Saccharomyces cerevisiae S288C: one gene and its partner. Changing the gene in region 1 together with any one later gene gives a genetic interaction. Each region holds a gene or a part of one and is shown on either strand. Other genes may lie near its edges.

What was found.
Region 2: of ASF1 (region 1) and CAC2, changing one enhances a phenotype caused by changing the other (phenotypic enhancement), as found in Saccharomyces cerevisiae (7 studies listed by BioGRID, with this or other methods).

The regions. Positions count from the first base shown.
Region 1 is NC_001142.9:193,497-198,490, forward strand, and holds ASF1 (nucleosome assembly factor ASF1), read left to right. Parts: upstream 1-2,790; coding exon 2,791-3,630; downstream 3,631-4,994. Other genes in the region: SUN family protein NCA3, read right to left, coding at 364-1,377; YJL114W (gag protein), read left to right, coding at 4,419-4,994. UniProt on the Saccharomyces cerevisiae protein: Histone chaperone that facilitates histone deposition and histone exchange and removal during nucleosome assembly and disassembly. Facilitates histone deposition through both replication-dependent and replication-independent chromatin assembly pathways.
Region 2 is NC_001145.3:65,507-70,266, reverse strand, and holds CAC2 (Cac2p), read right to left. Parts: upstream 1,974-4,760; coding exon 567-1,973; downstream 1-566. Other genes in the region: YML100W-A (uncharacterized protein), read right to left, coding at 1-129; CUE4 (Cue4p), read left to right, coding at 179-532; NUP188 (Nup188p), read left to right, coding at 2,718-4,760. UniProt on the Saccharomyces cerevisiae protein: Acts as a component of the histone chaperone complex chromatin assembly factor 1 (CAF-1), which assembles histone octamers onto replicating DNA.

The sequences.
Region 1 (4,994 bases):
AAAAAAACAGCATGGCATCTTGTTAGTTCTGTTGCAACTCGCAGGAAGTAACAAAATAAACACTATAATATTTCCATATATTTATATATATGTATACAAACACCTTGTTAACAAAAAAAAAATAAACGAACTAAAGAAAACCGTAATGCAGAGTACACCTTGAAGAGAGAGAAAAGAAAATCTTTGAATCCATAGCATAATAGCGATCAACGAAACTTTTTAAGAAGTAAAATGAACTGAAAGGAGAAAAATATAACGGAATCCCAATGTATAATAATAAATAGAGAGCGGAAGAAAAAGAATAATAAGGGGAATTGAGGGTATCAAAATACAAGACATTCTTTTACCGAAAAGAAGAATGACTTAATAGAAAACAAATTCAGCAGATCCAGATAAAACAGAAACTGTGCAACCATCGGAACCATCTCCGGTGAAAGAGCCATCTTCATACGCACAGCTGCCCTGAACGTTAGCGCCATCGGATGCAACTATTTTAACGTTAAAGTTGGCAGCTTGGTTACTGTTGGGGTTTGGAATCAACGACAAGTATGTTTCTCCATTAGTGGAACCAGCACCTAACACTAGTGGAGCCCAGTTGCCGACATCCGAACCAGAAGTACCCCAAATGCACCCATCTTCTGCAGATACACCGGCGTTGTTAATATAGTACTGAGCAGAAGTCTTTTTACCCTGCCATTGATAATAAGTGTCTTCATCAACGACTGAAATTGGTTGTGAATCTCCACCATCAACCACTGTGGGAATCACCATGTTTTCTGATCCTGGGTAATCCGTCCTACATAGAGCAATGGAGTCAGACTTTTTGTTAATGGCCTTAGCAGATGTTTCATCCGTAGAACATAAATCGCTGGTATCAGTGTTGGTACGGTACAAGTAACCATTTTTACAGTAAAGACCACCAACAGATTTACCATCGCTTGGTTGGTCAGAAGGCCATTGAGTCTTTGACATTCCAGGTTCACATGCATAAGAACAGTAGTAGCCATCCTTACATTCGGACGAAGTGTTGGCATCCATGTCCATGACAGAGGCCCATCCACCAAATCCTAGCCAGTCCAAGGAAACTATACCGTTTACAGAAGGGAAGTCCGAACATTTGACAGTACCATCTTGGAATCCGCCATCACGCTTCTGTTCAGAGGTATCCTTCTCAGATGAGGACAATGTAGTGGTAGTAGCAGCAGATTCTACAGTACTAGTAGCGGCATTGGAATCTATGTATTGAGTGACAGTGACAACCGCTGGTTTTTCATCTTTGTGATGATCTTCATGGTGACTGTCCGCTGGAGCAGGTGCAGGGGCAGAAAATGCGACAGAAGAAAGGGAAGACAATATTAAAGCTGCGGAAATTTTCATTATGTGTTAGAGAGAGACGAGTTAAGTATGTGCGACTATACTAGTATTATAATATTAAAGGAAAGTAAGGTACCGTCTATGAGGAGACTGTTAGTTGGATATCAGTAATGAGACGAAAAAGCTCGAAATGAATGGATATATTCTTTTTGCTACTGGCAACTGTTGAATATTTAATGTTAAAACAAACTAACTGAGGTATATTCGTATCTGTATGTACACATATACTATATACAGGAAAAGATAAGCAAGAGAGAGGATATCAACTACGAGAGCGATCGATTATATATCAAAAGCTGTCCGCTTTGCCACCCATAATCGGCGCTTAGTTTCGGAGTTCAATCATAATTCTACCACCTTACACTCAACTTACTCTTTAACTCCTATAGTATAATATCGCCACTGACCCCATATTAAAAAAATTTTTTTGCTCGATCTTCTATCCTCTTTAGGTTAATTGTCGCTGTTATTGTCTAGATTTTTTCTCGGAGATGGCGCATCTATTTGCCGTCAAAAGATCCTCTCATACCATATTAAGTAAATTGCCTCCATTTCTTTTTCCTCGGGCAGAGAAACTCGCAGGCAACTTGCTCTCGAAGTGGTCACGTGCGGGTCTAGGCCTGCATAATCGGCCCTCACAGAGGGATCCCGTTACCCATCTATGCTGAAGATTTATCATACTATTCCTCCGCTCGTTTCTTTTTTCAGTGAGGTGTGTCGTGAAAGAAAACCCACAATTAAACTTTCAACAACCGGGCGACTAGGAAGAGAGTAGTGGGCGCGGATGACGAAGGCTAAGGTCACTTCTTCGTTTCCTTTATTGGGGTTTCCGTGTAGCCTTCCCCTGAATAGTGTGGGACGTTTTATGAGAAGCCGTAAGAAATAGGCAAATTGAGTTATGACAAGTAGACATGATGCCGCAGCCTTGCCTGACTTTACGTCTCCTTCATGAATAAGTTTTTCTATCGAGTTCTTTTCCTTTTTTCGCCTTAATTAGCTCAATTAAGCCTGTCCTCACTACTTTTCTTTTTCTTATCGGCTTTGTGCCACACCTAACCTTCGAATGCTGTTTTATTCCGTTCTTACATGGGATGGTAATGCCTTGGCGAGAATTTCGATTTTCAGGATATTGTCTTGGTGGCGTCTTTTGCTGTTACTATGTGTTTAAGAGAGAGCTGTTCTACAAAGAACTTTTCATTTACGCGTTTTTTCCTTTTTTTTTTTTTCTCATCCTAAACGCGTAAATCTGTTCCCTTTTTCATGTAATGGGCGTACAACCGACGATGGAAAAATGAATCTTGCAATTTTAATACTAACACTTGGAATAACTCCAAACAGGTAAGAGGCTCACAGAATCTCGAAAGTGTAACAGCGTACTCTCCCTACCATCCAATTGAAACATAAGATATAGAAAAGATGTCAATTGTTTCACTGTTAGGCATCAAAGTCTTAAACAACCCGGCAAAGTTCACTGATCCATATGAGTTTGAAATCACTTTTGAATGCTTAGAATCTTTAAAACATGACTTAGAGTGGAAACTAACCTATGTTGGGTCCTCTCGTTCTCTAGACCATGACCAGGAATTGGATTCCATTCTGGTAGGCCCCGTTCCCGTAGGTGTTAATAAATTTGTGTTTTCTGCTGACCCTCCCTCCGCCGAGCTGATTCCTGCGAGTGAATTGGTTAGTGTGACTGTTATTCTATTAAGTTGTTCTTATGACGGGAGAGAGTTTGTTAGGGTCGGTTACTACGTGAATAATGAGTACGATGAAGAAGAGTTAAGAGAAAATCCGCCAGCAAAGGTACAAGTAGATCATATTGTAAGAAATATACTGGCTGAAAAGCCAAGGGTAACAAGGTTTAACATTGTTTGGGATAATGAAAATGAAGGGGATTTATACCCACCTGAACAGCCCGGCGTAGATGATGAAGAGGAGGAGGACGATGAAGAAGAAGATGACGATGAAGATGATGAAGACGACGAAGATGACGATCAAGAAGATGGAGAGGGAGAGGCGGAAGAAGCGGCAGAGGAGGAAGAAGAGGAGGAAGAGAAGACTGAAGACAACGAAACGAATCTTGAAGAAGAGGAGGAAGACATAGAAAATAGTGACGGCGATGAGGAAGAAGGAGAAGAAGAGGTGGGGTCTGTAGACAAGAATGAAGATGGTAATGATAAGAAGAGGAGGAAAATAGAAGGGGGGTCCACGGATATTGAATCCACTCCAAAGGATGCGGCACGTTCAACGAATTAAGAATTTATGGGTTATAAGATTAATGGTACCTGCAAGAGAGGTACACTTTATAAAATGTATAAATAAAAAAATAACAGACATAAGATAAAGTCGGGTTAGGGCAACAGCTACGTAAAAAATAAAAGGCAGTAATATTTTCCATTTAAGTTGATTTTCTTATTATTGTCGTTGAGAACAAAAAGAAATTGGACGAGTCCGGAATCGAACCGGAGACCTCTCCCATGCTAAGGGAGCGCGCTACCGACTACGCCACACGCCCTAATATTATTGATATTGTTGTTTATCAAAGTGAGATACGTCAGTATGACAATACGTCATCCTAAAAGTTCATAAAACACATATGAAACAACTTCATAACAGAACGAACATGTTGGAATAAAAATCCACTATCGTCTATCAACTAATAGTTATATTATCATGTTGGAACGAGAGTAATTAATAGTGACATGAGTTGCTATGGTAACAATCTAATGCTTACATCGTATATTAATGTACAACTCGTATACGTTTAAGTGTGATTGCGCCTATTGCAGAAGGAATGTTAAACGAGAAGCTCAGACAATACTGAAGCTGTGTTAAAGACCTATTAGTTGAACATGTTATGGTAGGTACATATATGAGGAATATGAGTCGTCACATCAATGTATAGTAACTACCGGAATCACTATTATATTGGTCATAATTAATATGACCAATCGGCGTGTGTTTTATATACCTCTCTTATTTAGTATAAGAAGATCAGTACTCACTTCTTCATTAATACTAATTTTTAACCTCTAATTATCAACATGGCGACCCCAGTGAGGGGTGAAACAAGAAATGTTATTGACGACAACATTTCTGCGCGGATTCAATCGAAAGTCAAAACAAATGATACTGTCAGACAGACGCCATCATCATTAAGAAAAGTTTCTATTAAAGATGAACAGGTGAGACAATATCAAAGAAACTTAAATAGGTTTAAAACCATACTAAATGGTTTAAAGGCAGAAGAGGAAAAACTTTCTGAGGCTGATGATATTCAGATGCTAGCTGAAAAATTATTAAAACTCGGAGAAACCATTGACAAGGTTGAGAATAGGATTGTGGATCTAGTTGAAAAGATACAATTATTGGAAACAAACGAGAACAATAATATATTACATGAACATATAGATGCTACAGGGACTTACTATTTATTCGATACGTTAACTTCAACCAACAAAAGATTCTACCCTAAGGATTGTGTTTTTGATTATAGGACTAATAATGTCGAGAACATTCCTATTCTCTTAAACAATTTTAAAAAATTCATCAAGAAATATCAATTTGATGATGTCTTTGAAAATGATATCATAGAAATCGATCCTCGTGAAAATGAAATC
Region 2 (4,760 bases), on another chromosome or scaffold:
CTGGCCCTCTGTTTCGCCCCTTTTACCCTGAACGCGATTTTTGAGCGAGACGAGAAGAGCAGAAATTTCGCAATAAGTTACTACAATGGTGCCCGCTTTAGAATAATAACTCGGGACACATTTATACATTCCCACACACACAGACGAGGCACGGCTACCCACGCGCACAAAAGTAAAAATGGATGGATCGACTATAGTGTTTATACTGACGATGGTGTGCTTGTTTGTTTACACCGTGAAACACAGGGGCGCCAAGCAAGTACCCTCGCGAACCGTACAGGATGCCAAACCGGCGCCCTCGGTCGCCACCAACGACCCTTCTCCGGAGCCAGTACCATCGGCTCCGGAGGAACGCGTTGCTCGGTTAAACAGACATGGTAGTGATCGAAAGAGAGCCGTTAATAGTGACATGGTTGAAATCGTGATGACGATGGCGCCACATGTGCCTCAGGAAAAAGTCGTGCAAGATCTCAGGAACACAGGGTCCATTGAGCACACAATGGAAAATATCTTCGCTGGCAAACTAGATTAGGCATTCTTATGTACCGCATTAAATATATTAAAAATCACAAATCGACTGGCGTAGGATGTATGCGCCTCTTTTTACTATCGCTACTATTGCAGGGGATCTTCTTCACCGGCAGCATGTTCACGATCCCACCTGCCTCGCGCTGGTTCTTAGCCGCTACCGCGCTCTCGTCAGTGTCTAGTGGCTCTGCATGCATCGCTGGCGGCTCTATCCTTGAACCGAATTGCGTTTCTGTGTCGATCGATACATACGAACAGAATCCGTCTGTTGATGAGATTAGTAGGGTCGAGCCATCCTCAGACCATGCTAAATCAGTTATGGGTGAGTAATGTATATTTCCCACAACGCATAACGGCTCCAATACATCCGTGTCGTACACGAGTACTTCGTTAGTCGTTGCTATGGCAAATACTAGCTTATAGGGCAGCTTAAGCACACTCTTCTGGCACGTTTCGTAAAATACGGGCGAGAAAGCCGCCATCAGCGCTGGTTTCTTCAAAGATGGGATTCTAATCGCAGGCCGGTTTTTAACGCCACCAGCGCTGTTCAGTATTCCAGATCTAGTATACACGTATACGCAGTTCGCGACTTCATCACCAGCCACCTTATACACACCACTGGGAATTACGACCAAACCACCACAAGGCGATATGCTGCATCGCCTAAAGAATGAAGGTAGCGTCTCGTTGTGAAAAAGGTAATTTGTCCTCAGGACATCACCTGGACAAGGCAGTTCTGCCTTGGCAATCTTACTTCTAAGTTTCAGCCCTGTAACCACTCCTGCAGATGAAAGAATGACTCCATATACATGCAGAGACCGGTCCGCAGACTGTGAGAGAATAAACTGATTTAATGGGTCCCATGCAACACCTTGGACGTAGTGACCATGATCCGACTGGCCGCATACCAGCATCCCAGCTCCAACATCGAACAGTCGTATCGAATTGTCCATACATGCCACCACTATGTTCCTGTTATCAGGTGACCACGCTAGATCGTAAATCTCTGCCGCCGCAGTAGCACCGCTACCACCACGCAGCCGTTTCCACACAACCCATTTCTCCTTGTTCTCGTCTGCTTCACTAGTCTCCGCATCCATTCCGAATGGTCTGACCACAGATTCTTGCTGTGTATTTGGATCTTCTTGCTTCCATAGCAGCACTTGGCCGTCATCGCCCGCAGACGCCAGTACGTCACCCTTCGAGTTGAATCGGATTACATTTATGGCCTGTTCGTGATGCGTCAGCGAGCCAAGAAAGTCAAGGCTTTCAATCTTACGCACCCCCCCATTTTGTCCGTTTTCATCTCTGTTCAACTTCCATATCCTAACCTTGTTATCACCACCAGCGGTGAAAAGCTTGTCGTTCGCACTGTTCTTTTGGAATGTGAGCGAGTAAACGGGTTGTGAATCATGCCAGTAGATTTGCAAATGTGAAGCTTCCATTGTCCTGCCCCTTTGCTCTAAGCTTTTCTGCCTCCTTCTTTTAAATTCTGATACGTACTATAACGCTATAATAATAGCCCATCAGTTAGACAGCGAGTTAACTAACGTGTTCGCCGGGCAACCCAAGGAAATAAGGCGTCCTTTTCACATTTTCATATTTTTTCAAATTTTTTTCAATTCTAATTTTCCTTTTTCTCCCCCACCGTCTATAAAAGCTAGTAGTTTTCTACTTTTCACCACAGAAATCTATTCCTTCGATAACAGTCCCTAAATAAAAACACGACAAAAAGGCCCCACGCAAGCATGTGCAGCAACGGACAGGCGTCGTGCGCACAAACTTGCTCAGGGGCCCGAATACTAGCACATATGTCAAATTCCTAATTAACGTTTTTTATATTCATCGTTTCTTAGAGCCGTAATTGTGCTGATATCAATATCAGGGAAGAACATACCATATAGAGGTGTCAAGTACACCGAACGATCGTGGTGCTCCCTCAGCCACGGGCGTGCTTGGACGCTATTCCCACATATATACGCAAACAATCTATGTCTTCTCCCTCCTTGCCAGAAAGCCGGCTCCTGCTTGTAGTTAAGGTATATATGTATATATTCCGGGTAAGAATATTTTGTAATACCAAAAATTTTCTTCTTGAAATGAATACTTTGAGACATCTTTAATATTCGAACAGAAACACAAATAAAGAGATAACCCTTTCCACCGCTAAAAAAAGGACCCCATCAGCCATGGCTACACCTTCATTTGGCAATTCCTCTCCACAATTGACCTTCACTCATGTTGCTAATTTTATGAACGATGCTGCTGCTGATGTATCCGCTGTGGATGCCAAGCAATTGGCCCAAATAAGACAGTTTTTGAAAGCTAACAAGACAAATCTTATCGAGAGTCTGAACACAATAAGGCAGAATGTAACTTCTTCCGGCGATCATAACAAGTTACGCTCTACAATTGCAAACTTATTGCAAATAAACGTCGATAATGATCCATTCTTTGCTCAATCTGAGGACCTTTCTCATGCTGTAGAATTCTTTATGTCTGAGAGATCATCTAGACTTCATATAGTATACTCACTTCTCGTTAACCCTGACATCGACCTCGAGACATATTCATTTATTGACAACGATAGATTCAATGTAGTGGGGAAATTGATTTCTATAATATCATCTGTAATCCAGAACTACGACATTATTACAGCTTCATCTTTAGCACATGATTATAATAACGATCAAGACATGTTCACAATTGTCTCATTGGTGCAGTTAAAAAAATTTTCTGATTTGAAGTTTATCTTGCAGATATTACAAATTTTGAATTTAATGATCCTCAACACAAAAGTACCAGTAGATATCGTCAATCAATGGTTTCTACAGTATCAAAATCAATTTGTTGAATTTTGCAGAAATATAAATTCAACAGACAAGAGTATAGATACCTCGTCACTACAATTGTACAAGTTTCAGAATTTCCAAGACCTCAGTTACCTCTCAGAAACGCTTATTTCCAGGATTTCATCTTTATTTACTATCACAACTATATTGATACTTGGACTGAACACTTCAATCGCGCAATTTGATATTCAGTCACCTTTGTACATGGATACAGAAACTTTCGACACCGTCAATAGCGCTCTAGAGAATGATGTAGCAACCAATATCGTCAACGAGGACCCCATTTTCCATCCAATGATTCATTACTCCTGGTCATTTATACTTTATTATAGGCGAGCATTACAATCGTCGGAATCATTTGATGATTCAGACATAACGAAATTTGCTCTGTTTGCTGAATCACATGATGTTCTTCAAAAATTGAATACTCTCTCAGAAATTCTATCCTTTGATCCTGTTTACACCACAGTAATAACAGTATTTTTGGAGTTTTCTTTAAATTTTATTCCTATAACTGCATCTACTTCCCGGGTTTTCGCCAAGATAATTTCAAAGGCACCAGAGCAGTTCATTGAGAATTTCTTAACTAATGACACTTTTGAGAAAAAATTGAGCATCATAAAGGCTAAATTGCCCCTATTGAACGAATCACTGATCCCGCTAATTAATTTAGCCTTAATTGATACCGAGTTTGCCAATTTTGAATTAAAAGATATATGTTCATTTGCTGTTACCAAAAGTAGTTTGAACGATTTGGATTATGACTTAATTGCTGATACAATAACAAACTCTTCTTCATCCTCCGATATTATAGTGCCTGATTTGATAGAGTTGAAGTCTGATTTACTAGTGGCGCCACCCTTAGAAAACGAAAACTCTAATTGTCTCTTGTCAATACCAAAATCAACAAAGGGAAAAATTCTTACTATCAAACAACAACAACAACAACAACAACAACAGAATGGACAACAGCCGCCAACTACTTCCAATTTGATTATTTTCCTTTACAAATTCAATGGTTGGTCTTTGGTGGGTAGAATATTGCAAAATCTATTACATTCATATATGGAAAAGGGTACACAACTGGATGACTTACAACATGAATTGATGATATCCATAATAAAGTTAGTCACTAACGTTGTCGATCCGAAAACCTCGATCGAGAAATCTAGTGAAATTCTGTCATATTTATCAAATTCTCTGGATACTTCAGCCAGCACCATAAATGGAGCGTCGATTATCCAAGTAATTTTCGAGATTTTTGAAATATCACTACAAAGAAAAGATTATACCTCAATTGTACAATGTTGTGAATTTATGACTATGCTGACACCGAATTACCTTCATCTTGTTTCTTCTTACTTGAACAAATCGGATTTG